Linked DNA regions of Elephas maximus indicus. The protein of the gene in region 1 binds, or shares a complex with, the protein of each later gene. Links are inferred from orthologs where the notes say so. Each region holds a gene or a part of one and is shown in the gene's direction. Other genes may lie near its edges.

Region 1 (7,522 bases):
GCACCCCACTCTGCCAGGAAGCCTCCTGCCTGAAGGTGCTCAACTCTCTCACTCTATGCATCAGCCAGCCAACTGCAGCAGTCTGCCGGTCCTGTGCTGCTGCCATCTCATGCCACTGCCATCTCATGCCACTGCCATCTCCAGTGTTACAGCTCTGTCTCCTGGGTCTAGGAGGTTTTCAGCACAGGTATGCTTAGGACAAAGGATGGACTCTGCTCCTGGCTCTTCTTGATGGTAGTGAGGCCTCCCCTCAACCTTTGGGATTGGCTCTTTTCAAGCCTTTTTGTTTTTAGGATGACAAAACTGACCAATTCCCTCAAGGTTTCCATGCACTTTATTTGCATTAGCAGGCTGTCCAATATCCGCAAGGGTTCCATACACCTTATTTGCATAGTCCCAGCCAATCATTTTAATGGGATTTACAAGTCCATGGCCAGAAGACCATATAAAAGCGATTCATTGCACCGCATGAGGTAATAGTAAGACCAATCTCATTGGATTATTGTAACCATAAAATGAACTAATTCATGTAAAGTTGTTAGAGAGAACCTGGCACACAGTTCATGTAATTAGGCATGTTATTCACTTTTTGAGCTTGGGTTTCTCATCAGTAAAATAGGGATAGTAATAGTGCTTACCATGTAAGATTGAGGATTTAATAAGCTTATTTATTTATTAACTTTTTACTCTGAAATAATTTTAGCTCACATAGAAGTTGCAAAAATAGCATGGAGAGCCTAAAGATAGGCAGAAAGATTAATAGAATAGTCCAGAAACAAAAGGTCAATTGATTTTCAACAAAGGAGCCAAGGCAATTCAATGGGGGGAAGAACAGTCTTTTCAGCAAATAGTAATAGGACAACTGAATATCCACATGCAAAAGAATGAATTTGGACCACTACCTCACACTATATACAACAATTAACTTGAAGTGAATTATAGAACTATATTTAAGAACTAAAACTGTAAAACTCTTAGAAGACAACATGAGCATATGTTCCTGATTTGTGTAACACAATTATTTCTAAGATATGAGGCCAAAACCACAAGTGATAAAACAGAAGATTGACAAGCTGGGCCTTATTCAAACTAGAAACTTCTGTGCTTCAAAGGGTACCATCGAGAAAGTGAAAAGACATTTAATAACCAAATCTCAGAAGTGCCATCCCACCACTTTTGCCATATTGTCCTGTTAGAATTGAGTCGGTAAGTCCAGCTACTTCCAAGGGAAGTAAATACTAAGGGGCAGGGAATACAAGGGGATAAAACCACGAGGTAGGAATCACTGAGAGCCATCTCCAAGGCTGCCTACTACACTGGAAGAGGGAGAGGGGAGTGGGGTGGCCATAAGGTTTATGAACAGACCAAAGTTCATGTTTTGGAGTGTCTGGGGATCTAAAAAGCTGCTGTTGGACAGGTCAGCACGAGGCAAGGATAGAGAAGCCAAGAGGTCAAATCACGCCATGTCTTGGCTGCAAAAAAAGAAAGTGAAAAGACAATTCACAGAATGGGAGAAAAAAATTTTCAAAATGTGTATCTAGAATATATAAATAAGTCCTAGAACTCAATAATAAAAAGACAACCAAATTATAAAATGGGCAAAGGATCTGAATGGACGTTTCCTGGAAGAAGATATACAAACGGCCAATAAAACACAGAAGAAGATGCTCAACATCGTAGAAATTAGGGAAATGCAAATCAAAACCACAATACGATACAACTGCATGTAAACCAGAATGGCTACAATATAAACACAGATAATAACAATTGTTGATGAGGTTACAGAGAAATCACAACCCTCATGAACTGCTGGTGGGTATGTAAAATGGTGCAACAGCTTTGAAAAACAGTCTGGCAGCTTCTCAAAAGGTTAAACATAGAGTTACCACATGACCCAGCAATTCCACTCCTGGATACATATGCAAGAGAAATGAAAACATATGTCTAAGCAAAAACTTGTATAAATATTCACAGCAACATTATTCACAGTGGGCAGAAAGTGGAAACAACCTAAATCCTCATTAACTGACTGGATAAATGTGCTATATCTATACAATGTAATATTATTTGGTAATACAAATGAATGACCTACTGATAGGCTACAATATGGAATGAACCTCAAAAGCATTATGCTAAGTGAAAGAAGCCAGTCATTTATACGAAATGTCATGAATAGGCAAATCTATAGAAATAGAAAGTAGATTAGTGGTTGCCTAGGGCTGAAGGGTATGAGGGGAAAGGAAATGGAAGTCAGTGCTAATGGGAACAAAGGTTCTTCTAGGGATGATGAGAATGTTCTGGAATTAGTGGCGGTAATTGCATAAGTGTAAATATACTAAAAATCATTGAATTGTACACTTAAATTGGGTGAGCTTTATGGTATGTAAACCGCATCCCAATAATTTTGTTAAAAAATAATAGAGAGAATTCCTGCATACGCTTCACCCAGCTTGATAACTTCTTACATAACCATAGCAGGGACAATCAAAACAAGAAAAGAGCAACTACAGGAAATTGATATTGGTACAATACTACTGGTGAAATTACAAACCATATTAGATTTCACCCCTGCTTAGAACAATGCCTGGCACATAGTGAACCTTGTACGGGTGTGAAGGACGTCACTGCAATGATCATGATGAAAATCATAACGATGCTGGACCAATCACAGCCAGGTTGGTCTGCTCGCTGTTCTCAGAGCATGCCACCTTAGTTCCTGTTTCTAAGTGCTTAGTCTACTGGTAAGGGTACAAATCACCTGAGACTCCCTTTTCCTTCCCCTTTATTTCCCCCATCAAATCATTCACACAGTGGCATCTCCTAGGGGGGTGGGGTGGGTGCTGACCGCACCTGGTGACACTGTCAAAGGGGGTGACACCAAAATGACTGTCTATAAAATTTTTGTGCAGGGTTTCAGCAAAAATTTATGATTTTTTATAAAAATATCTCTGTAGTTAGTTATAACAATAACATTTTTCATAAGTCCAGCTTACATGTATCAATATACCTACAAGGCTAAAATTCTATGCTAATTTACTTTTTTAATGCCCTCGGTAGCACTGGGGGTTCATGCCCTTGGTCAGCGCTGTCATTATTACCCAATCACAATGATGATTCGAATCACGTGGACTGCACATGCTACAAGAACTGCTGTTTTTTGTTGCTGGTGTTTTTATAGTTCCTGGTTTTGTCAAATTTTCTGGTGTTTTAGCTACAATATTGTGGTAATTAGTATTTGTGAACCTATACAAATAGCTTTTTTGAGAACAAAGTAGTAATAAAGGGAAAAGAGGGAGTGATATATGGGAATGATGATTTACAAGTATCTCTAGTACAAAAAACATTCCTAAGGATTCCTTGTGGTCTGGTATGGGGGGAGGTCCATGGCAGGGGTGACACTGTGAGTTACTGCATTGGGTGACACTGACCCTAGTGACCTGCTGGATTCACATCCATGATCTCTGTAAAAACTTCTTTAATAATTCTCCTCCCTTCTCGGAATGTATGAACACCCATACCGACCAGCACTTGCCTGTTCTCTAGCTTGCATTTTTCTCTAATTATTTCACATTTGAGTTCTAAGTTTCCATTAGACCGAGAGGGTGTGTAGGCTACACTACCTTCAAATCCCCCACAATAAGCTCGGTGGGAATTCCAACAAACTTGTCTATTGACTGAGTCAGATTCAAAGTTTTTACAGAAACAGAGCTGCAAAGGGCGGAGCAAGAGGGACGGAATGTGAAACGAGGATGGCAGGAGATGGAGAGCAATTCAGGCAGCAAGACAGAATCTGGGCAAGTCAAGAAGCATTTATAGGGTGTCCACTGTACTCCATGGGGTGCCCATTACACTCCATAGTGTAATGAAAATCATTGCCAGAGAGAGAAAAGAGGAATAGAGAGGGAGGGGGTAAAGACACCCAACAATGGAGTTCCCCACGGTATCTTCTGCAGTCAGGGTGAAAAGCCCTACTCCGGGACTCTCATCACACAGCATTTGTTAACAGCCTGCGTTCTAGTCTGACTTCCCCGCTAACCTGTGAGCTCTGTGAGAGCTTGCGGTTCGCTCTTCCCCTGGTATATCCCCAATGCCTGGTACTTTGTGGGGACTCTATAGATGGTCCAATGAACGAACAAAGGACTGATGGACCCGGAACTAGTCCTGCATCTCAAATCTACATTTATGAAAAACAGACTCAGAACAATGTGCAATTTTGACAAATTGAAACTCTGAAGCTCTAGTCTCTCCTTCCTCACACTAGAACGCGAAGCGCCAACTAGACGAAGTCTACCACAGGCCCCAAAATCAACCTCTGAAAATACGGGAGGCGGGGCTTGTGCCTACCCCTCCACAACCCCTTGAGTTCAAGTCCTTTCCGCATATGCACCCGCCCCCTTAACCCGGCGCGCAGTTCTAATTGGTGAGTTCTCTAATCCATCTGAGAATCTGGTCGCCTATTGGGTTAACTGCTAAACCCGCTTGCGCATCTTCCGGCGTTGGGAACGCAGAGCGGACGTAGCTTTGCCGCCATTGCGCTGCGGGAAGAGCGGCCGTCTGAGCGAGGGGGCTGTGGGGGTGCGTGGTAGGCTTTAAGGGCCGGACTGAGCGGCGGGAGGTGTTGGGCCGGGTTGGGTGCACTCTGCACAAGGCGGGGCTGCAGGGGCTGGGGAGCAGTCTCCGGGACGCGTTCATGTTGCGCCTCTTCTGGGCCCAGGCCCTATTGCTCGTTGATTGTTCACCCCCTCCGTCCCCCAGATTCTCCAGGCATGGCTGGAGTATTTCCTTACCGGGGGCCGGGTAACCCGGTGCCCGGCCCTTTAGCCCCGCTGCCGGACTACATGTCGGAGGAGAAGCTGCAGGAGAAAGGTGAGGAAAGTGTGCCGGGATGACGCGCGCGGGCCCCGAGACTTAGGGGCCGGTGTGCGCGCGTGCGCGCGGGGGGTTTGGAAAGCCTTTCCTGGGGCAACCTAGAAAGTTTCCCCCCCACCGCTTGTCAGGTCATTACCGGTAGATGTGGACTCCCTTTTTAGCCCTATTTATTTTTCAACTAGTGAAGTATTTTTAAGCGTTTGTTATTTGTAGGAGCTGATCTAAGTAATGGGGAATATAATAGCGATGAGGACAAAGCTGTTGCCTCTACGGATTAAATTGCAGTGAGGGAGATAGACAATAAAAAACTTAAAAGTCTGTAAAACATAAGTCGAAAGACGAAAAAACAAAAGATAAAGCACAATGAGTTGACAAAAGAATTGGTGGAGATTGTTCTTTCTAGATGGGGAAGTCACCTTCTCCACATCTGGGTGCCCCGCCCCCCTCACAGGCCCGGACAGGTGCTTACCCTAGGGCAGGAGATGGGGATCATTAGGCTAAGGGAGTGCAGTTTTTCAAACTGAGATGCCTTTGTAGCCCGAAAATGGCAGCAATTGCAGGCCAAGCGCTACGCAGAAAAGCGGAAATTTGGGTTTGTGGATGCTCAGAAGGAAGACATGCCTCCAGAACATGTTAGAAAGATTATTCGAGACCATGGAGACATGACCAACAGGAAGTTTCGCCATGACAAAAGGGTCTACTTGGGGTAAGGAACATCTGGAATTATTTCATTTGGAGTTTAGCTCCTTTACTTTCTCGCCGCCCTATAGGTTGCAGTGCTAGATAGCTGCTCTATCATTTGGGGACAGGACTCTACAATGACAGCCATCTTGGCGTTTGTAGAGAAAGAAGGAAACCACTAGGATTCTGTGACAATTTGCAGGTTTTCCAGTTATGCTCTTTATTGCTCTGATTTTTCTTCTTTATCTGGGGCTGGGGCTTTAATTTGTCTTTTTGGTGCTTTGGCTTTTCTTCATATGTTCCTGTCATTGAATGGATTGAAGTCCAGAGTGGGACACTTTGTACTTTTAGCTGTCTTAAAACCTCAATGACCAAAATTCTGAGGTTTGAGATACTTAGTGGCACAATGATTAAGAACTGGGCTGCTAACCAAAAGGTGGGCAGTTTGAATCCACCAGCTGCTCCTTGGAAACCCTACAGGGCAGTTCTAGTCTGTCCTATAGGGTCACTATGAGTTGGGATTGACCCGACGGCAGTGGGTTTGGTTTTTTTGGTTTGAGGTCTGTATATTCTCAGGTACAAATGCCTTAGCAAATTCCTGTCCCATTTGGACATAAAAATGTTAGCCAGCTAATGAACTGGTCTGAGGCAAAAATATATATATATTTTAAATTATGCTAGATTCTAAGGATGTAACGGTCAAGAAGGCAGTAACGATCTCTGCCTTCATAGAACTAACAGTCTAGTGGCATGACAGACGTGAAATGGTTACAATGAAGTATGATGAATATTTTATTTTTGTTACTTGTGGGAAGGTACAGAAATAATAAAATGTGAAAAGCTGGACAACAAAGAGGGTGTTGTTTTGTTGCTTTAAAGGGACTACTATCCAATATTGCAGGACCGTAAAGTTTAAGGGGGAAGGTGGTGTAATGTGAGGTTGGAGAGGGTAAGACATGTTTCTGATCCTGGAGGGCTTAGGTGTGCTAAGTTTGGGAGTTTGGACTGTAAGGCAGTGTTTTCTGTGGAATGTGGTACTGTGATACCATGTGGGTTCTCTGCTGAGTGGCGGAACACCTTGTCATGCTTGTTAATTTTTCTTTTCCTAATGCCACAGTGCCCTAAAGTACATGCCCCATGCAGTCCTCAAGCTTCTGGAGAACATGCCCATGCCTTGGGAGCAGATTCGGGATGTGCCTGTGCTGTACCACATCACTGGAGCTATTTCCTTCGTCAATGAGATTCCCTGGGTTATTGAGCCTGTCTACATCTCCCAGTGGGGGTGAGAAGGGCTGGAATATGGTGTGTGGTGGTGGTGTTGGCTGAAGGGGCAGTGAGTAGAAGTTGTGTAATGTTCTTGACTTCCAGGTCGATGTGGATTATGATGCGTCGAGAAAAGAGAGACAGGAGGCATTTTAAGAGGATGCGTTTCCCCCCTTTTGATGATGAGGAGCCACCCTTGGACTATGCTGACAATATTCTAGATGTTGAGCCACTTGAGGCCATTCAGCTAGAGCTGGACCCAGAGGAGGATGCCCCTGTGTTGGACTGGTTCTACGACCACCAGCCATTAAGGGATAGCAGGAAGTGAGTGATGGTTGGAGTTACTCTATAAGAGTTCTAGAAGCCTCGGAGTCCCGGGTGAGCAGTAGGTGGTATGGCTCTGCTAGCTGGTATACTTACCTGACTTGGTCCCCTTTTTTTAACCCTAGGTATGTGAATGGTTCCACTTACCAGCGTTGGCAGTTCACACTGCCCATGATGTCCACTCTCTACCGCCTGGCCAATCAGCTCCTGACAGACTTGGTAGATGACAACTACTTCTATCTGTTTGATCTAAAGGCCTTCTTTACCTCCAAGGCACTTAATATGGCCATTCCTGGAGGCCCCAAATTTGAACCTCTTGTTCGAGACATCAACCTGCAGTAAGTTGGAGAGAGTGAGGATTTTAGCCCTTTAGGCCTAGTAAAAC
Region 2 (7,041 bases), on another chromosome or scaffold:
AACAGACATTCCTCCAAAGAAGACACACAAAACCAAGAAGCACATGAAAAGATGCTCAGCGTCATTAATCATTATTATTGTTAGCTGTTATCAAGTTGGCTCTGACTCATGATGACCCCATATACAACAGAAGGAAACGTTGCCCGGTCCTGCACCATCTTCACAATCGTTTGTATGCCCAAGTCCATTGTTGAGGCCTTTGTGTATTTTGAGTGCCTTTCAACCTGGAGGGCTCATCTTCCAGCACCATGTTGGACAATATTCTGTTGTGATCCATAGGGTTTTCATTGGCTGATTTTTAGAAATCAATCTCCAGGTCTTTCTTCTTAGTCTGTCTTAATCTGGAAGCTCTGCTGAAACCTGTTCACCATGGGTGACCCTGCTAGTATTTGAAATACCAGTGGCATGGCTTTCAGAATCGTTGTTGCTGGTAGGTGCCATCGAGTCAGCCCTGACTCAACGGAACAAAACATTGCCTGGTCCGCCGCCTTCCTCACCATTGTTGCTATGTTTGAGCCCATTGGTGAAGTATCATAGCAATACCAAAGCCACCACAGTATGACAAACTGAGACAGGTGGTGGCATTAACCATTATTGTTGTGTGCCATCGAGTCGCTTCCGACTAATAGCTACCCTATAGGATACAGTAGATTGCCCCTAGTGTTCCCTAGGCTGTAAACTTTACAGAAGCAGACTGCCAGGTCTTTTCTCCAGCGGAGGCACTGGGTGAGTTCAAACCACCAACTTTTTGCTTAGCGTCTGAGCATTTAATCATTGGGCCACCAAGGCTCCTGGTTGGTACAGGTAATTATTTCTCTTTTCAAGGAGAAGGGAAGGAGACCACTTGCTCCTTCTGCCGGGTGCTCAGGCCCTTCTCCCCTCAGCCAGGCCCCAGAGGAAGAGGTTTAGTGCCTCCTGCCTAAGCCTTTCTGGTGGGAGGCATCTAGATCTGCAAGTTCCAGTCCCCTCTGCCCAAGTCTCTGCGGCCTGGCACAGGGGAATCTTTTATTGAGAAGCCGAGCTCTAAGGGCTTCCTGTGCAGAGTCAAGCAGTCCTTTCAGCCAGAATCCCTGGCCCAGGGCTGGATGAGAAAAAGCTCACAGGCTGTTCCTGAGGCTCAGCTGGCCAGGAGAGGTGTGGGCCTTGAAGGGGGGTACCTATTGCTCCGTTTGCAAACCTGACGGCATGTGGCCAGAGGCTAGAGCCCTGCATGGCCACCCAGCCGGGACTCTCCTGGGACTGAGGCTGCAGTCACGCTCACAAGCGTATGAAACTACACAGGAGATCACCTGGGAGCAGAAATTAACTATTCAAATAGACATCTACGTTTACAGGAGTCATTATAGCTAACACCTGCTAAAGCGAGTGGAGCTGTTATTGTTGTCTTTTGCCTCTTAGTCAATTCTAATTTACAGCAACCCTGTGTGTTACAGAGTAGAAGTAATCTTGGCTGTAATCTTTATGGAAGCAGAATGCCAAGCCTTGCTTTGGGTGCTGCTGGGTGGGTTTAAACCACCAACCTTTGGGTTCCAGCTGAGCTCAGTGTGTGCCACCTAGGGACCTTATCATCAGAGGGTCTCTGTTGACTCCACAGCAAGTTTTAAGGAGTCCCAATGGCACAACAGATAAGCACTCAGCTGGTAACAGAAAGGTTGAAGGTTCAAGCCCACGCAGCGGCTCTGCAGGAGAAAGGCCTGACAATCTGCTTCTGTAAAGATTAAAAATTACACTCAAGAAAACCCTATGGGGCAGTTCTACTCTATCACATGGACTTGCTATGGGTTGGAATTGACTCGATGGCACCCAGCAACAATACAACAGGGTCTTGTGGATGGGGTTGTTGTTGGGTGCGATCGAGCCAATACCGACTCATAGACTCATAGTGACCTTATGTACAACAGTAAGAAACGTTGCCAGCTCCTGCACTATCCTCATAATTGTTATGTTTGAGCCCATTATGGCAGCCACTGTGTCAATCCATCTCATTGAGGGTTTCTCTCTTTTGTGCCACCAAAAAGATATGTCCATAAGGTGATTACGAGCCCAAGAGACAGCAAGGGCCATATGAACCAGAGACTACATCATATTGAGACCAGAAGAACTAGATGGTGCCCAGCTACAACTGATGACTGCCCTGACAGGGAACACAACAGAGAACTCCTGAGGGGGCAGGAGAGCAGTGGGATGCAGACCTCAAATTCTCGTAAAAAGACCATACTTAATGGTCTGATTGAGACTAGAAGGACCCCGGTGGTCATGGCCCCCAAACCTTCTGTTGGCCCAGGGCAGGAACCATTCCCGAAGCCAACTCTTCGGACATGGATTGGACTGGAGAATGGGTTGGAGAGGGATGCTGGTGAGGAGTGAGCTTCTCGGATCAGGTGGACACTTGAGACTATGTTGGGATCTCCTGCCTGGAGGGGAGATGAGGCGGGGGGGTGGGTTAGAAGCTGGCAAAATAGACACGAAGAAAGAGAGTGGAAGGAGAGAGCGGGCTGTCTCATTAGGGGGAGAGTAATTGGGAGTGTGTAGCAAGGTGTATATGGGTTTTTGTGTGAGAGACTGACTTGATTTGTAAACTTTCACTTAAGGCACAACAAATATTATTAAAAAAAGATATGTCCAAGTCCTAACCCTGAGCACCCGTGAATGGGATCTTGTTTAGAAATAAGGTCTTTGGAGATGTCATTAAATGAAAAATATCGAGATTATCCTGGATTTAGGGTGGGCCCTAAATCAAACACAGATACATAGATCGATACCTGCCATCAAGTTGACTCCAACTCATGGTGATCTATGTACAACAGAATGAAATGTTGCCTGGTCCTGTGCCATTCTTACTATTGCCAGTATGTTTGAAGCCATCATTGAGGGTGTTGTGTTAATCCAACTCACCAAGGGTCTCCCTCGCTCTTGCTGGCTTTATACTTCATCAAACATGAGGTCCTTCTGCAGCGATTGATCCCTCCTGGTAGTGTGTCCAAGGCAAGGGAGTTGGGCAAGGTTCTGTTGTGATCCATAGGTTTTTCATTGGCTGATTTTCAAAAGTAGATCGTCTTTCCTCCTAGTCTGTCTTAATCTACAAGCGCTGCTGGTATCTGTCTACCATGGGCAACCGGGCTCGTATTTGAAATACTGGTGGCTTACTTTCAGGATCACAGCAACACACAAGCCACCACAATGTGACACACTAACAGACAGGTGGTGGAAATCCAGGGACAAGTGTTGTAAGAGAAAGGAGAGGGAGAACCTCCAGAAGGAATCAACCTAGCCAATGCCTTGATTTCAGATCTCTGGCCCCAGAACTGCGAAAGAATAAATTTCTGTTTTTAAGCCACCAAGTTTGTGCCCATTTGCTATGGCAGCCCCAGGAAAAGAAAACATGTACCTATTTATCATCTCGCTGACTGGCTCCTAAGCCCCTGGGGGACTGGGAGTTTTGTCCATTTTGTTTAATAAATATTTGTTGCATGCACATGTTTTAAGTGCTTACTATGTGCCAGATACTGTTCTAAGTGCTTTTTCATGGCTTAACTCGATTCATTCTCACCTGACCTTCTAGAGCAAGTACTATCATTATACCAGTTTTGGAGTGGGGTAACTGAGGCTCGGAGAGGTGTGAATGGGGTTCCAACGTACTAAAACACGTGCCCTAAATAAGTATCAACTTTGCTCGTGAGAATTACAAGACTAGCGGTCCCGAAGGGCGACGCAGAGCCGGACTGAACAACCAAGGGGCCTCGAGGTTTAGTCATTGGCAAACGGAAGGCAATACCAGGTTTGCCCACCGCGTGGCGCCCAGGAGACTGGCGAGGGTGTCGGCTTGCGCATGCGTCCTTACCCAAAATGCCGCTTGCACAGGCGCGCCTTGCTTCACGCCCTTTCGCAGCATTCGTCGTAGGACTTTACGGCTTTTCCTGCACGAACACGGCTTCGCCCCGCCCCTCGCGCAAATAGGCTCCGCCCACCTCCGCGGGGAATGGTTGTCCGTTCCCCAACCCCCGCGGTGATTGGCTCGTGTATCTGCCAATCCTCTTTAGCCTAGTGGCGCGCAGTGGGGCTGCTAACAGCACGAGCGGCGGCGGCGGCGGCGGCGGAAGTGGCCGGCGAGCCCGGTCCCCGCCGGCACCATGGTGAGGGGAGGGCGACAGCGTGGTCGTGACGGCGGGGTTTCGCCGGGAGGCGGGGGGACGCGAACGCCAGGGGCCCTCGGGGCGGTGCGGGGAAGAGTGCAGTCCCGGCCTCGAACCCCGCCCCTGGGCCCGTGGCGGGAAACTGAGGCCAGGTTCTCCAGCAGGTCGGTCTCGGGCGATTTAGGGCTAAACGGACGTGCAGTCATCCTATAGCAGCCTGACCGCAGTGCTTTGCATTTCCCTGAGGGGGAAACTGAGGCCCGAGCGGTTGTGAACCCGCCTAGTGCACCGTGAATGCCGCAAAATGGGTTTTCGGGTAGGGAAGGAGCCCCGACCGCATAGAGTGGAAACTGGGGTGCGGGGAGCCAGTGTGAGTTCTCCAGTTAAGCAGGTTCCAAGGATTTCAGGGCTGGAACGTGCCCAGTATGATAGCAGTATCTCTTGTCTTGCCTTCCGTTTTCAGGCTGGAAAATAGACCTAGAGAAGGGATTGCCTTTTCCTGAGTCATACAGCCTGTCGTTTCTGGGTAGATTCGAGCTCAGCGTCGACTAAATGTATTCTCCTGGTTCACAGAATGAAAAATTGAGGCCCAGGGAGAGTGCACGTGTTTTTTGGGGGCTATGGACCCAATAGGCAGGAAAATGGAGGCCCAACGCAGAGGAATTTCAGCAATGGGAGAGGGCCCTCCCGTTTTAGGGAGAGAAGTAGAGGCCCTCGGTGGAGAAGTGACTTCTAGTGTCCACTCTGGGAGACAGGAATTCTGTAATTGGGAGCCACCCGAGGTGTCACTCCACATTTCTCAGAGCTAAGGGCTGTGGTGAGCTCGCCCTAAATCCTGCTGGCTGGTGTAGAGACCAAGAGAAGGGAACAGGCATCTCTGCTGGACAGAAACAGAGATGGCACAAGGGCTTGGGCAAAACCAGAAAGACCTATCAAAAATTAAGTTCCGTGAGGCAGGATATTTGTTCCAATCCCTGATGGGCCCCCTAGAGACTAGAGTCAAAACCAAAGCTTACCTTGCAGTTGTTTCCAGCTTATGGTGACACCACGTGTTACAGAAGAGAACTGTGCTCCATAAGGTTTCTTGGCTGTAATATTATGGAAGGGGATCTCCAGGCCTTTCAGAGAACTGCTAGGTGGGTTCTAACCGCCGACCTTTAAATTAGCAGTTAAGCACAAACCGCTTGTACCACCCAGGACCTGGAGCCTAGAACGGGCCTTTGCAAAGCGTGGACTCCATGCTGTTCCCACTTTTGAGACATGGACTCTTTGAGCCCTGACCCTCCAGGCATTTCCTAGCTCAGAGAGTGGATGCATTGAGATGCATTCAGCCTGTGGTCAGGGACAGGCTGGAGGGAGGGTCCTGGATGAGAAACCATTGGAACTCTTCCTCAGTGGGTCTAGACTTGAACTCCAGGTCCCAGACATCTGAGAAAGGAATGATTTTTCCTCAAAATTTTGTGATTTTCCTGCCTCATGGTGGCCCTGTCTCCCCTGAACCAGCCTTCTCCTGTCTTACTCAGCACTTTCACGCATCTTCCTCTTTCCCACGAAGTTTCAAGTCCTTGAGGACCCGGCCCGTTTATCTTGCTTTTCTCTCCAGCACAGTTTGGGGACAAGAATGCAGAAGGAGGCAAGACAGGACCACTGCCCACAGAGAGCTGCCTTGGCTGGAGGTCAGCAACCCCAATCCTGGCGCCTCCACTTCCCAAATGTAGTTATCATGTGCTGTTGTTGAGTTGACCCAAAGTCACGGCAGCCTTATGTACAACACAGTGAAACATTGCCTAGTCCTGCATCCATCTCACAATCACCAGCATGTTTGAGTCCATCCTTGTGGCAATTATATCAGTCCATCTCACCGAGGGTCCCCCACACCCTAATTGGCTCTGTACTTCACCAAACATGATGTCCTCCTCCCGCAATTGATCTCTCCTGAGAACATAGCCAAAGCAAGCAAGTTGGACGGTATTGTGTTATGACTTGTAGGGTTTCCATTGCCTGATTTTCAGAAGTAGATTGTCAGGTCTTTCTTCCTAGCTGGCTTAGTCTGGAAGCTCCTCTGTAACCTGTCCGCCGTGGGTGACCCTGCTGGTGTTTGAAATGCTGGTGGCATAGCTTCCGGCTTTGCAGCAACATGCAGGCCACCACAGTAGGACAAACTGACAGACGGGTGGTAGTCTCCCCATCTAAGTCCCTGCTTTTCCTTCTATGGGAGGGGACAAGAATATCCCGATGCATCTTGTGTGCTTACTTGAGGAATGTGCGTCGTTTATTTTTTCAGTGAATGTTTACCTTGCCCGTCTCCTGTGCCTGGCACTGAGCTCAGCAAAGCCCACGCCCTCTGAGCTCTCCAGTCTAGCAGAGACCTGGCATTTCCAGTCTAGCCAGGGAGGCAGTTGATAAACAAACAAGCTAATTAGAGACTGCGTAAGTCTCTAGATGGTGACAAACAGCGGTATGTGAAGTGGAAACCTCAGGTCCTGAATGAGGTTATTAGGAATGTGTGCGCCGACACTGTGGGCAGATCAGGGGAGGGGGCAGGGCAGGTGGCCTGGGCAGGAGTGGGGAGCAGGAGGCTGAGTAGCTGGAGCTGGGCGGGCCTGGCTTGGGAAGCACCGGGGAGCCTACTGGAGGGTGGTGAGCAGGGTGCGGCTGACCCCATTTGTGTCCCAGACATTCCTTCCACCTGCTTGGTAGGGAGGGGACTGTCTTCCCTGGCTGCGCTGGGCCACGTGATGCCCTGAGGGTGGCCGTCACGGGTGTGGGGGTCCCGCGAATGCCATAGGAGGATGTCCAAATTGTATGGCCACAGCAGACATTAGCCTCCCTCAGCTTTCCCCGGGGCCTGGCTGTGTCCCTAGCAGGTCCCTCTTCTGGGTGCCAGATGCCCTGTGAAGTGAGGGGA
Region 3 (6,948 bases), on another chromosome or scaffold:
AGCGCATTGACCCTGTGCTCTACATGACAGAATGGTTCATGTGTATTTTTGCCCGCACCCTGCCCTGGGCCTCAGTGCTGCGTGTCTGGGACATGTTCTTCTGTGAAGGTACATCTGTGGCCATGCAGGCCCTGAGGGGCTGGGGCTTCTGTGGTGACTGCCAGAGGGCCCTGTCACATTTCTCATGGCCCCATGACAGAAGGTAGTTGTTGGGCCTAGGCTTCAATGTAAGCAGCCTGGAGGCTGGAGGAACTGAGGCCTGATCTTTGGCTGTGCCACCAACCCAGGGCTGCTCTTCCTCCCAGGAAGCAGAAACCCGTGGCAACTCATTTTCCTTCTCGGGCCTCAATTTCCTCATCTGTAAGATTTAGCAGTAAGAGGGATGGGGGCTGTGAGTCCCTACTAAATGGGACTGGCTGAGATCCGGGGCCTGATCCCCCCATGCTCTCTTCTGGCCCTCTAGGCGTCAAGATCATCTTCCGAGTGGCCCTGGTGCTCCTGCGGCACACGCTGGGCTCTGTGGAGAAGCTGCGCTCCTGCCAAGGCATGTATGAGACCATGGAGCAGCTGCGCAACCTGCCGCAGCAGTGCATGCAGGAGGACTTCCTTGTGCACGAGGTAGGACTTGACTCTACACACTCCACATCTGCTTTGGCCCATCCATGCACCTCTTTTTCATTCTGCAACCCATTTCCTCTCTTTCTAGGTGACCAACCTCCCAGTGACAGAGGCACTGATTGAGCGAGAAAACGCAGCGCAGCTCAAGAAGTGGCGGGAAACCCGGGGGGAGCTGCAGTATCGGCCCTCACGGAGATTACATGGCTCCCGGGCCATCCATGAAGAGCGGCGACGGCAGCAGCCACCTCTGGGCCCCTCTTCCAGCCTCCTCAGCCTCCCTGGCCTCAAGAGCCGAGGCTCCCGGTTAGGTGGTGGGGCGCCCTCTCCACCCCCTCCTGCCCGAAGGGCCAGTGCTGGGCCTGCCCCAGGGCCTATGGTCACTGCTGAGGGACTGCATCCATCCCTTCCCTCACCTACTGGCAACAGCACCCCCTTGGGTACCAGCAAGGAAGCCCGGAGGCAGGAGAAAGAGCGGCAGAAACAGGAAAAGGAGAGTGAGAAGGAGCGGCAGAAACAGGAAAAGGAGAGTGAGAAGGAGCGGCAGAAACAGGAGAAAGAGCGGGAGAAGCAGGAGAAGGAGCGGCAGAAGTGGGAAAAAGAGCAGGAGAAGGAGCAGCAGAAACAGGAGAAGGAGCGGCAGAAGCTGGAGAAGGAACGGCAGAAGCAGGAGAAGGAACGGCAGAAGCAGGAGAAGAAGGCCCAAGGCCGGAAGCTTTCGCTGCGTCGAAAGGCAGATGGGCCCCCAGCCCCTCAGGATGGTGGGGACAGGTCCTTGGCATCTGAGGCCCGGCAGGATGCGTACTTCTGACCTCTGCCCTGGGGCTGGACTGCATGGCCCCCCTTTTCCCCTCAGCCAAGAGCAGGCCTGGCCTGGGCTGCTGCCCCCAGCCCCCTTGGTAGGCCGTCCTTCTCAGAGGAAGGTGGCTTGATACCCTATCTCCTCATGCCAGCTGCTGATCCTACACAGCCAAGACAGAGTGCATGGGGCAGCTGCATTTCCCTGAGGCAGCCAGGAGCAAATCTGGAGCCCCTTACCTCCAGACAGACCCAGCCAGGGTCTCTGTCACTCCTGCCCCAACTCCCTGTGGGGTCCCCCTCCCCGGTGCTGTCCTGGTTGATTTCTTGTCATTACGGGGGTGACTCTTGGTGATGGGAGTCTGCAGTTTTCAGATTCTTACACTCCAGTGGCTTCCCTTACCTATGAGGTGGAGCTGGGTTCCCTTTTCCTTCCTCCAGTCCTGCCAGTCCCCACTTCTTGGCTGGGGGCCAAGGTTCTCCTTGATCTATTTCTGGACATCTCTGTTATAATTATGTACAGAGGACCTGGCCAGCCTGGGGGGGGAATGCTCACTCCATCTTCTGCTCTTCGGTTCTCCTTCCACAATGCTCGTGTCCCAGTTTATTTAAGGGGACATGCACTGGAACAGGAAATGTCCCCCACCTCCCCACCCCTGCCCTCATGCTCTCCCTCCTCTGTGTTCTCAGGCCTCCCCTGCTTTGTCTCACGAGGGCCCCTACCTTTCACCTTGTTTCCTTCCATCCCCTATCAGAGGAGTCTTCCCTTGAGGTCCAGGGGTGGAACCCTATGTTTACATTTTCTTCTGTCCCTGCCCCCGCCCTGTGCGTGTGGCGCTTTGAGGAACCGGAAAAGAACCTGCTGTTGTACCTGGGCTTGTCTTCTGCCTTGTTTTTTGATGAAGGAGGTGTGGGGGTAATGGCTAGGGAGGAAGGGAAGACAGACAGGACCTGGGTCTCTATCAAAGCAGTCTGCTGGTCTTGGCAGGTGCCTCTTGGCCTTTGGTCCATCTCAGTCGCTCATCAACAAACTGGTTGAGCTCCTGCCTCAGCTTTGCCTGGAATTTGCTCTCTCCATTGTCACTGGTCTGGAGCCCTCTACGCTTTTCCTGCAGCACCCAGATCTCCTTCCTAAAGCACTCATGCAGCTCCTAGAAGCCTGAGGGGGTACTGAGTGAGGGTGGCTAGAAAGCCACAGCTCTCTGAGAGTGAGCTGGGCTCCTGGCCAGTCGCCTGGCACACTTTCCTGTACTGGGGACTCCAGAGAGGGTAGCAGTGCTGCCAGCCGGCTCCAGCTCACTCTGGCCAGTGCCCATGCCAGGCCCTCCAGCTCTTGGTTTTCTGTAGCCAGCTGATAGGTCCATGCCACCCTCTGTGCCCTCCACCTCAGGGGTCAGAACCTTAAAGGTGTAGGATTCCATGTTGGATTCCACGGCTCCAAGGTGTGGCTCCACCTGGCAGTTCTCCAACAGGACGAGGCTTAGGTGTGTGCTGTCTGCCTGGTGCTCCAGGTAGGTTTCCATGGAGGAGGAACAGCAGCACTGGTAGCTGGTGTTTTGGACCCCATTCTTTAGCAAGAAGCCATCCCGATCTGGGACCTGTGCTCTGACCCCCAGAATAAAACAGACTCTAGGTGAGGTTTCACGGTGGTTTAATCCAGGGAGCGGGAGAGAGGAGGGGCCAGATGGTCGCCCTAGGTGCCCCCTGCTGGTGTCCTCTGGCTTCAGCAGGCTTCTGAGCACTAGCCTAGTGGGATTCAAGCTCCTGAGTGTCCACTAGAGTTTGGGACCTCTTTACCACAGTAATGGGACCCACTCCTCCCACCTCCCAACCCCACCCCCTTGGGCCAAGCTCCCAGCACCTGGGCTTTGTTTGCTAAGGGTGGGGGCTTTATCCTGCGCTGCACTTCGAGAGAGGTACTGCTACCCTTTTGCAGGCCTACCTGAGAGGGACAGGAGAGGCCTCTGGCCTGGGTACTTGGCTACCTCTCCTGTTGGTGGCTTTCCCACCTGAGAAACCAGGAGCCGTTCTGGGGGTAGGTGTGGAGCAAATGACTTCCCTTGGGGCCTAAAGGGAGCTCGGTGTTTGAGAGACCTAGGAGTGGTCAGGGGCCACAAAGTGGGCCATCAGAAGAGTCGAGCAGGCTTCCCCAGAGAAAAGGCTCCGTCTCTTGACACTAAGAACGGAGCAGACAGCTGGGAGTGGGCAGGGATGATTTCTCCTCAGATGGTGGGCGTAGAGCCCTTAGCTAGCTGTGGAAAAAGGGTGATCGAACCCTGAAAAGGTAACCGGCTAGGAATGTACTGGACCTGCTCGGACTCTGCCCCTCCATGCTGACTCTGGGCGCCCCTTGAATTAGAGCGCACTCCACTTTCTCCCCAAAACCTCTACTGCTGCCTGAGGGGATCCACACCACCTCCCTCGCCGGATCCGAGTCTAAGCGGTCATACGATCCCTTTTTGTCATTTCGCCAGTTTACGTCACTTCTGGCAGGTCGTCCCTCGCTCATTGCATACTTCCGCCCGCTCTTTCAGTTAGTTCTCTAACCGGAGTGAAGTCACTTCCAGCTTCCCTGGCGCCTTCGGCAGTTCTCTTCCGGGTGATGGCGGTCAGGCGCCCCGGATATATCCCTAGCGAAAGCATCTCTTTTTTTCTTCCCCCGTCTCCCCTGGAGCCCCAGGTGAGCGCGCGCCAGTGGGACTTCCTGAGTCTCCCCTGGCTTTGCAGCCCCTCTAGTTTGTATACATAGCACCGGCAGTTGGAGGTCTCCCCGCGGGGTTGGGAGTTTGGGCGCTAGGAGGAGTGGGGCGGCCAGGGCTCCAGATCCTGGGGCTGCGTGGGCCCCGCGGGCTCTGGGGACCCTGAGGGGCCAGCTGTCAGCCCCCAGAGTGCCGCCGTGCCTAGGACTGCGGGAGCCGGGGAGGGGGTGGTCACGTGGGAGAGCCGGTTGCCTCTTCGTTAAAGGTGGGAATACCATGGGGAGATACCCTCTCTTCCGGTTCCAGCACCCTCTGGAATCCCGAACCAAGGGAGTTGCCTGGCTGCCAGCTCCCTTTTCGGACTCATCCTGTGCTCCCTCCCCTCCCGAACAGGATGTACCTGGTGAAATGTTTGTTGTGGGGGTGGGAGCGGGGCTCTCTCGCCTGAGTCCCCTCCTCGCCCCTCCAGTTCTCTTACCTCGCCTGCTTTCTCTCAGCACAGTTTAGAGAAGCCTTCTCTGCCCCGTCATGCCAAAGAGGAAAGTGACTTTCCAGGGCGTGGGAGATGATGATGATGATGATGAGAGTGAAATCAGTGTCCCCAAGAAGAAGGTGAGGGGGCCAGACTCCTGTGTTCTGGGACGAGTGAGGGGAGAAAAGAGAAGCTAGAAACTGAAAGAGAAATAAAGCTGAGGACACAAAAAGTGGGTTGGTTTTCGAATATTCTCTGAGGAATGACTTTGAAGAATTTTCAGTTTGGGTCCAAATCCTGGAGTATTTTGGGGAGTAGCCAATATCCCGCATCTCTTGATTTGCTGATTCTTGCTCATAGCTGGTGGATCCTGTGGCTGGGGCAGGGGGTCCTGGGAGCCGCTTCAAAGGTAAACACTCTTTGGACAGCGATGAGGAGGATGACGATGAGGAGGGGTCCAGCAAATACGACATCCTGGCTTCAGAAGATGTGGAGGGTGAGTTATACTGAAGATGTGACTCAGCCAGAGGGACAAGGAGGGGCTTCTGGGGCTGTGGGACAAGGGAGGCTCCTGCCTTTTTTTTTTTTTTTTTGGCCACTGCCTCTTTTTGCACACCTAGCATGGAGCATGTGTGTCTTTGGTGCAGGTCAGGAAGCAGCCACACTCCCCAGCGAGGGAGGTGTGCGGATCACACCCTTCAACCTACAGGAAGAGATGGAGGAAGGCCGCTTTGATGCCGATGGCAACTACTTCTTGAACCGGGATGCTCAGATCCGAGACAACTGGCTGGATAACATTGATTGGGTGTGGCCCAGGGGCTGGCATGACTGGGGTCTGTGGGCAGAAAATGTGCAGTCTGAGCCCTGCTGGCAATTTGTAGGGAATAACTTTTCTGTCTTCATATTTACAGGTAAAGATTAGGGAGCAACCACCTGATCAGCATCAGACGTCAGACTCAGAGGAGGAGAACAGCCTGGGCCAGACACCGATGAGTGCCCAAGCCCTTCTGGAGGGCCTTCTGGAGCTGCTGTTGCCGAGGGAGACAGTTGCTGGGGCATTGAGGCGTCTGGGGGCCCGAGGCGGAGGCAAAGGGGACAGCAAAGGGCCTGGGCGGCCCAGCTCCCCACAGCGCCTAGACCGGCTCTCAGGGTTGGCCGACCAAATGGTGGCCCGGGGCAACCTTGGTGTGTACCAGGAGACTCGGGAACGGTTGGCCATGCGGCTGAAGGGGCTGGGGTGCCGGACCCAGGGATCCCATGACCCTGCACCCCCACCCTCTCTGGACATGTTTGCTGAGGAAGTAGCAGAGGAGGAGCTGGAGAGCCCAACCCCTGCCCAAAGAGGAGGTAAGCTTGGAGGGCAGAAGAGGGGTGTTGTGGGCAGAAGGCATGGTGGTTGAGGCCCAGATTGCTTTTCCTCTTATTTTAGAAGCAGAGTCGCCAGGGGATGGTCTAGTGGATGTGATGTGGGAATACAAATGGGAGAACACACGGGATGCTGAGCTATATGGGCCCTTTACCAGTGCCCAGATGCAGGTAAGTCCTTTTCTACCTAGTTCTGCCTTGTGCTTCCCATCCCCCACCTCCACAGCTCCTCCCCTAGCTCTGCCCTCTCTCCCTGCAGACCTGGGTGAATGAAGGCTACTTCCCTGATGGTGTGTATTGCCGGAAGCTGGACCCCCCTGGTGGTCAGTTCTACAACTCCAAACGGATTGACTTTGACCTCTACACCTGAGCCCACTGAGGGCCGAGTTTAGTGGCCCCTTCTTTCTTGGACTCTGTGGGGGAGGCTCCAGCTGTCTCAGGAAGTGAGGACACTGGGGGCTGCTTCTTTCCGAATAAAAGCCTTTAGTTGTGTATTGGGGCCTTGGCTATGCTGGGACCAGAAGCCGGGGGCCTTCTCCACAATCCCTTTGCACTTGCCTTGCTCCTTTGGGTGTTTCTTCCCATAAAGTTGCTCCTTGGGAGTTTCTCTCTGGTCTCTTGAACCACCTCACCTTTGTTCTCAGGGACTAGGGCCTGGGCCTGTCAACATCCTGCGGCCTCTCCACTTGGACTCTGCTTGCCATCTGAAAATCCATCAGTTACACTATTTTCCAGTCTCCTTTGGGCTTCCCGTTCAGTGTTCTTAGGTTGTTAGCCTAAGAACCAAACCAACCCAAACCCACGGCCATCCAGTTGATTCCAACTCATAGTGACCCACTAGAACAGAATAGAACTGCCTAATACGGTTTCCCAGGCTGTAAATCTTCACAGAAGCAGACTGCCATATCTTTTCTCCTGCAAAGTGGCTGGTGGGTTTGAACTGCAGACCTTTCTTTTAGCAGCCGAGCGCTTTAACCACTGTTCCACCAGGGCTACTTG
Region 4 (6,924 bases), on another chromosome or scaffold:
GACACCCGCGCGCCAGCTCAGCCAAAAGGCCCAAAGTCCCTGCCCCAGCGCGTGACAAGGACAGTGGCTGCGGTCTCAGACCCAGGTCCTGGCTGCTCCACTATATGTGGCCCAGGACAAGGGGCCCAAGGCAGTCCCACCTCTGGGTCTGGGAAGACCCCCTGGGCCTGCCAGGGGAACAATGGGCCTCAGGAGGGCAGTCATGAGCTGGTCACCGTGTCACACCATAACCCTTGGGGCTGTCCCCAAGTTTTCGGCCCTGGAGTCCCTGTGGTGCACTGCTCTCTGTGCTCCTGTGGCCCCTGCCCTTCTCACAGGGCAGGGATGAGCGCCCTGCTCCTCGGGGTCCCCTGGTCCCTGCCCTGGTGACAAAGGGTAGCCTGGACAAGGGGGAGATGAGCCCCACCACTGGGGAGGGCTGACGCCACGGGAGGCGCTTCACCAAGGGCTGAGGCAAGGGCTGACGTGACCAAGGTTCTCTTGGGCCCCAAGGCAGGATAAGGGGTCCCCGTCCCCAACTCCCCCGCAGACACCCTTCAGTCAGCAGTGCACCCTTCCCACAGCCCCAGCGGTCAGTCAGAGCCCCCGGCATCCAGTGAGGCTCTGCCTGGGCTGCTCTGAGAGGACTCACGTTCCACAGCAGGGGTCCGAAGTCTACAGCCCACAGGCCAAACCAGCCCACCTTCTCCTTGTGTAAATAAAGTTGTACCGGCACACAGCTGTGCCCCTCATGTACCTGTGGTCTGTGGCTTTCTCACTATAATGGGCTGAGTAGTGGCAACAGGCGGCACAGCCAGCAGACCAGAAGGTTCCCACAGAACCTTAACTGAAGCCTGCTCCACGGGATCCAGGCTGTGGGTGAAAGGGCCCATTCGTGTAATATGGGAACTGACAGAAACTTCCTTTTACAGAGCTCGTTTAAGGGTGCAGAAGTAGGCTTCACGGATTGCCCTCACAAAATCTGCAAAGCAAACTGGCTTTCCCTTAAAAAAAGGGCTGCGAGCTTTTATCAAACACCGAGAAGGCGCCACCCTCTCGCCTGCTGAGTTACGGGAGCTGGCAGTTCTTCAGTGACACACATTCTACAAACACCCTGAACTCTAGGCTGCTCCATTTGTGCCTGGGGAACCAGAGATACCTAGGACAGGAACAAGGATGGGGGTCTGCCTTCTGACAGTTACCAAGCAGATATAGGAAACTCCAGAATCTCTGTGGAAGTGGCCGACATCCAAGGGGTTTAAAAGACACCAAGGAGCCAGGTTATGGAGCAGTCTTCCTTCAAGAAAACCAGTAAACCAGTGCCCAGGGAGTCGACCCTGCTCCTGGTGGCTGAACTGTGCCCCACAGAGTTTTCAGTGGCTGAGTTTTCGGAAGTAGGTCACCAGGCCTTTCTTCCAAGGTGCCTCTTTGTGGACTTGAACCTCCAGCCTCTCAGTGAGCGGCTGAGCATGTTCACCCTTTGCATGAGCCAAGGACTGTTCCTTCCAAGAACACTTAGTGAAATCTTGGAGACGGTGAAATCATCAGGACCCAAGAATCATGGGAAAAAACACATTAAGGTGGAGGAGGCACAGGTTGAGGCGACAGGACAGCCTTCATATTCCACTTCATATACCTTTCATAGTAAATGGGAGTGGGGAGTGGTATTGGGGAGGTCACTTTTCTTGTCCAGGGTCACAAGACAGTGGCCTGTGAATTCAGGACTGTCACTGAGCAGCCTCCACCCAGCGGGAGAGTTAATCTTACTCCTGGGAGCCAGGAGTCAAATATACCCATTTCCACTACACGACTGAGAAGACGCCCCACAGCACCAGGACTGTGCCCACAAGGGGCCTTAACCAGGGTCCAGGGAGAGCAGGGCCCACTGCTCTCTTTGAGTTGCTCAGAGATTCTCTGTGGCTCACCTTGCTCAGGATAAAGCCAACTCCCCAGCGCTGTGGGCCCTGTGGACTCTGCCCAATCTGACCGTCTGCCTGAAGCCACACCCCCAACTGGCCCCTCCCTGCCGCCTCCTTCAGACCCATGGGAAGGGCCTTTCTCTGGATGTAAGCTCCCTCTCCAAGCACCAGACCATCTTATGCACAGACTACAGTCCTCAAATAATCATCAGCTCTTGTACCTCCTGGCTTTGGTCATGCTACTCCCACTGCCTACAATACCTTTCCTCTCCCTTCCCAACCCAACAAACTCCTATTCATCCTTCAAAACCCTTCTCAGGTGTCACTGCTCCTTAAGAGCTTTCCCAGGCAAATTCACCAGTCATGCCCTCTGTGGCACTCCCATGATTCTTTATCCACCTCTTCTTTTCTGAATCTCATGCAAAACATCTCGAGAGCTCAATGTCCCTGCCCTCAAAGTGTCACAGGCTGGTGAGCGAGGAAGATGAATAACCAGGCAGGTACCACGTGTTCAGTGCTACAATGTGGGCAGTAAGGGGGGGCTGGGGAGAGGGTATCCTGGACAGCTTCTGGGAGGGAGGAACAGGCAAGCAGAGACGGGAAGGATGACTAGGGGTTAACCAGGCCAGGAGTGGAGAAAGCCAGTTCCAGGGTAATAGAAAAGATCAGAGAGCAAAGTGTCACCGATAAAATCTGCATCCTGTCTGAGTCAGGAAGGGAGGGAGGAAGTGGCTCTGTGAGCAGTCACATCACAAAGACCTTTCTAAAGATGAGAAGCCACGCAAAGGCTCTCATCTGGAAGCAACAAGGTCTGACACGCTTCTGGAAAAGATGGCCCCTGCTGTGTGAAGAGTGGACTGGAGGGATTCGGGGGGAGGGACCTGAGTGACCACAGGGAGAGGGGAGGGGAGCCCCAGCAGAGGTGGTGGTGGACAGGCTCCTAAGACGTGTGAGGAGTTAGAGCTGTCAGGCAGGAGTCCTCAACGTTAAAGAGCAGCAGCGAGGTCTCGCTGATCGCGCACCATTCCCAGAGCTGCTGCGTAAGCCAGGACAGACGGGAGGTTTGGAAAAAAGGTGCACTTATGGTTGGTTTTCTGGGTATGACAGACAGCAAGCATCAGCTATCTTGTTATCGGTGCCCCACAAGAAACTGAGATCCTTAACATGAAACGACAAATAAGTAACATATTCAGCCCTCTGCTGGTCCACACTGCTCTTGCCCCCCCTTGTGCAGACAGGTAATTGGTGCTCAAAGCGAGGAACTCCCTTGCCCAAGGTCACAGAGTAAAAGATGGGGCGCAGGATTCCCCCCAGTCCGGGGCTGGGCTCTGAGCCCTGTCGCGACGCTGCCAGGCACGGGGATCCCGCGCTGACCCCCTCCAGGGCCTTCCCCGCTCCCCCGGGGCGTGTGCTAGCATCGCGCTCATTTCGCATAAGAGGAAACTGAGGCTCGGAGAGGCTCAGTCACTGGGCCAAGGCCGCAGAGCCAGAGAGCGGGGTCCTGGGCGGCGGCTGGGGAAGACCCCGAGACGGACAAGCAGGACTCGGGGGGGAGAGGACGGGGGTCCACAACTTTAGCCCGGGCCGGAACTGGGCGATACTGCAGCTAGGGGGGGTTTCCGCGGCGAGGAGGGAGAGGAGCTGGGGACGAGCCCCCAAGGTCACTCCGGGCCCCGGACCCGCGGGGCCGGAGTACGGGGGGCGCGGGGTCCCCGAAGCTGCCCCCAGCCGGGCCGGGCTGGATCCCGAGAGGGTCCCCAGGGGCGCGGGGAAAGGGGAGCCGCAGCGTACGGGGCTCCCGGGACGACGCAGCCCTCACCTGGGCCGCGAGGAGAAACAAGGCCGCCCAGAGCCGCGCCAGCGCCGCCGCCGCCGCCGCCACCGCCATGTCGGCCGGTCCCCGCAGCCGTCGGCTGATGTTTCCCAGCAACGCCCCGGGCGCCGCTGCGCGCAGGCGCGGGGCTGCGCGGCTCCTGTACGCGCGTGGGTGACGTCAAAGGGCGCGCCGGCGGCGCCTGCGCAGAGCGGCGCGGCGCGGCAAGATGGCGGTGGGCGCACGGCGGGACCGGGCGGGCGGCGTGGGGCTGGCGGGGCGTTCTCTCCGCCTCACGCGCTCTGCTTTCCTCGCAGGACAAAGAAAAGAAGAAGAAGGAGAGCATCTTGGACTTATCCAAGTACATCGATAAGACGATCCGGGTGAAGTTTCAAGGAGGCCGCGAAGGTGAGGCAGCCGCTGCCGCCAGCACCCTCTTATAGCTGTTTAAAATAATTAACAAGAGCTACGATAACAACTTAATTTTTAGGCAGCGTTTTCTCCGCTTAGACACTGCTTTAAGGGCTGCACGCGAACTAACTCATACAGTCCTCCTAACAGCGCTGGGAGGTAGATGCCGTTGTGCCCATTTTGCAGATGGGGAGACTGAGGCACGAAGCGGCGAACAGACTTAACCCAAAGTCACAGTGACGCAGCCGGGATTGGGATTCACGAGTTTGCCTCCTGTGCGGTCCTGTCCCTCCAGCTCCCTCCCAGGGGCTTCCGTTCCTGCTCCCTCTACACCAGAGTTCCTCAGCTTGGGCACTGCTGCCTGGAGGGCCGGATCGTTCTCTGGGGTGGGGCAGTCCTGTGCACTATAGAGAGTTGAGCAGCACCCCGATCACCCACTCGATGCCGGTAGAACCCTCCCCCTCCCCCCCCCCAATGATGACAGCTACAAATGTCTCCAGACATTGCAAGTATCCTCTCGGGTAGAATCGCTCCTGGTGAAGAACCCCAGTCCGGCAGTCAATCACCAGTCAGTGGGCAGAGAAATCTGTGAAAAACAGAACTTGAATCTCTGCTCCCTGCTTAAACCCTCCCTTGGCTCCCCATTGTGCCAGGATAAAATCTAAATCTGTATGTCTGAGCAGCACCTGTAGCCACAGGGCTGGAAAGGCACACGTTTGCTTCCTGCCTGGAATACTCTCACCAGGTGAACTGCCAGGCTAACCTGCTCCCAGTTCAAAGGCATTTGTTCTGGGAAGCCTTCCCTGATCCTCCACCTCAGGTCAGTCCCCTTTGTTTTAAGCTCCTAGTAGCACCTGTGGGGAAGACACCGGTGGCTCGGTGATAGAATTCTTGCCTTCCATGTGGGCGACTCAGGTTCATTTCCCAGCCAGTGCACCTCATGTGTAGCCACCACCGACCTGTGGAGGCTCGTGTGTTGCTGTGATGGATGAACAGGTTTCAGCAGAGCTCCCAGACTAAGACAGATTAGAAAGAAATGCCTGGAAATTGACTTCTGAAAATCAGCCAGTGAGAACCCTGTGGATCCAAACGTCTGATCCACAGCTGATTGTGGGGACAGCACAGGACGGGCAGCGTTTTGTTCCTGTGTGGGGTAGTATGGGCGACCGAGGGCGGCTAACAACAAGTACATGTCGCCACCTGCATCTTTATGTTTGCTAACGTGGCACTTAACTCTGCCCTGCGGGGATCTAGTGGTGAAATGGTATGTTCTCTGAGGGCAGGATTCGGCCAGGTTCTGCTCGGTGCCCATGGGCAGAGCAGGGTCACTGCATCCCCAGCCCCCCACCAAGTGCTTGGCTGGCAATATTGCCTTTGATGCTCATCTGAACCCTGTGAGGTGGCTGTCATTATGAGCCCCGTTTTGAAGAGGAGGAAGGACCCCTGCTGGTGCAGTGGGTAAGCACTTGGCTGCTAACCAAAAGGTTAGCAGTTTGAACCCACCAGCCGCTCTGTGGGAGAAAGACCTGGCAATGTACTCCCGTAAAGATTACAGCCTAGAAAATTCTGTGGGGCAGCTCTACTGTGTCCCACGTGGTTGCTGGGAGTCAGAATTGACTCGGTGGCAATGGTTTTGCAGAGGTGGAGCCTGAGGAGGTCACACAGTGGGAAGCCACAGAGTCAAAGCCCAAACCTGGGCAGTCAGGTGGCCGTCCACTCCAGGGGCGGGCAGACTTCTCCATCAAGGGCCAGACAGGGAGTATCTTATTTTTGCACACCAAATGGTCCCTGTCCTGCTGAATGGCTTCCGCCGTTGCTCGTTGGCTTGTCTCGTCTCGTTCTGCTTGGAGCTGGCTATCCCTGTTCTCCTTTCAGGGCTCCTCCCCATTCCCCCTAGTCCCCAGCTTCCTCTTCCCCTGAAAGGTGGTCCTTTGTGGGAGTGTGAACCTGCCTGGCCCTGGGGCACCGAGGATACTCATCCAAAGAATGGATATTGATCTCACGCCTTCTCGTTTCTCCTTTCCTTCTGGTGGTTTCTACAAGCCAGTGGAATCCTGAAAGGGTTTGACCCCCTCCTCAACCTCGTGCTTGATGGCACCATCGAATATATGAGAGGTGAGTTCAGGCCTTGTCCTTTTCGTTTTAAACCCGTGGAACCTATGCCTAAGTTACGGGTACCAAGCCATGTCGACTGGGTAGCTACAGGGTGTTCCATCCCCCACTGGCCCTGGTGTTCCTGCAAAGCCTGTGAAGCTCACGGTCCTAGGTTAAAAGAAATGTTTTGTTACCACATGCAGTGGTCTTTAGGTGCCTATTACCCATTGTTGTCGAGTCGTTTCTGACTCATAGCAACCCTGTGGTACAGAGTAGAACTGCCCTATAGTGTTTGCAAGGAGTGGCTGCTGGATTCAAATTGCCGGCCTTTTGGATAGCAGCCGAGCTCTTAAGCACTGCGCCACCAGGGCTTCAGGTGTGCCTATTAGGTACTTAAAATGTGCCAGGCATGGTTAGAAGGATGACGAGGGAAGGAAGCATGCGGGAGATATAGAGAGCTGGGAGGGGGACTTTGGGGCCTAGCAGGGACCACCGGGCCTGGGCTGAGGACTGCTAAGACACCAGGAGGGTCTTGCCCTTCGGGAGACCAGCAGTGTGGCTGAGACAAGACTGATTCTCCTGGAAAGTTTAACAGCATAATGTCACCACAGAGGTGCGACCTGGCAGGGCAGAGAAGTCCTCTCAGTGGGGAGCCTGCTTCAGGCTGAGCCGCCCACTCCCTCTGGAGCATCCTGGTGGCCCCTCGTT

What was found.
Region 2: PRPF8 (region 1) and LSM4 share a complex: the UniProt entries of both Homo sapiens proteins name them as parts of the U4/U6-U5 tri-snRNP complex. The link is inferred for Elephas maximus indicus from reciprocal best matches to the Homo sapiens genes PRPF8 and LSM4.
Region 3: PRPF8 (region 1) and CD2BP2 share a complex: the UniProt entries of both Homo sapiens proteins name them as parts of the U5 snRNP complex. The link is inferred for Elephas maximus indicus from reciprocal best matches to the Homo sapiens genes PRPF8 and CD2BP2.
Region 4: PRPF8 (region 1) and LSM7 share a complex: the UniProt entries of both Homo sapiens proteins name them as parts of the U4/U6-U5 tri-snRNP complex. The link is inferred for Elephas maximus indicus from reciprocal best matches to the Homo sapiens genes PRPF8 and LSM7.

The regions. Positions count from the first base shown.
Region 1 is NC_064837.1:20,023,628-20,031,149, forward strand, and holds the start of PRPF8 (pre-mRNA-processing-splicing factor 8), read left to right. Parts: upstream 1-4,502; 5' UTR 4,503-4,575; exon of another isoform or gene 4,576-4,582; intron 4,583-4,755; 5' UTR 4,756-4,766; coding exon 4,767-4,866; intron 4,867-5,406; coding exon 5,407-5,575; intron 5,576-6,667; coding exon 6,668-6,832; intron 6,833-6,918; coding exon 6,919-7,137; intron 7,138-7,262; coding exon 7,263-7,475; intron 7,476-7,522. UniProt on the Homo sapiens protein: Plays a role in pre-mRNA splicing as core component of precatalytic, catalytic and postcatalytic spliceosomal complexes, both of the predominant U2-type spliceosome and the minor U12-type spliceosome.
Region 2 is NC_064821.1:38,290,613-38,297,653, reverse strand, and holds the start of LSM4 (U6 snRNA-associated Sm-like protein LSm4), read left to right. Parts: upstream 1-4,031; 5' UTR 4,032-4,130; coding exon 4,131-4,133; intron 4,134-5,149; exon of another isoform or gene 5,150-6,436; intron 6,437-7,041. UniProt on the Homo sapiens protein: Plays a role in pre-mRNA splicing as component of the U4/U6-U5 tri-snRNP complex that is involved in spliceosome assembly, and as component of the precatalytic spliceosome (spliceosome B complex).
Region 3 is NC_064830.1:89,630,583-89,637,530, reverse strand, and holds CD2BP2 (CD2 antigen cytoplasmic tail-binding protein 2), read left to right. Parts: upstream 1-3,952; 5' UTR 3,953-4,093; intron 4,094-4,609; 5' UTR 4,610-4,640; coding exon 4,641-4,724; intron 4,725-4,944; coding exon 4,945-5,080; intron 5,081-5,231; coding exon 5,232-5,389; intron 5,390-5,495; coding exon 5,496-5,931; intron 5,932-6,013; coding exon 6,014-6,120; intron 6,121-6,187; coding exon 6,188-6,319; 3' UTR 6,320-6,441; downstream 6,442-6,948. Other genes in the region: TBC1D10B (TBC1 domain family member 10B), read left to right, coding at 1-108, 464-618, 707-1,426. UniProt on the Homo sapiens protein: Involved in pre-mRNA splicing as component of the U5 snRNP complex that is involved in spliceosome assembly.
Region 4 is NC_064821.1:3,112,625-3,119,548, reverse strand, and holds the start of LSM7 (U6 snRNA-associated Sm-like protein LSm7), read left to right. Parts: upstream 1-3,918; 5' UTR 3,919-3,940; coding exon 3,941-3,946; intron 3,947-4,028; coding exon 4,029-4,119; intron 4,120-6,165; coding exon 6,166-6,237; intron 6,238-6,924. Other genes in the region: SPPL2B (signal peptide peptidase-like 2B), read right to left, coding at 3,718-3,786. UniProt on the Homo sapiens protein: Plays a role in pre-mRNA splicing as component of the U4/U6-U5 tri-snRNP complex that is involved in spliceosome assembly, and as component of the precatalytic spliceosome (spliceosome B complex).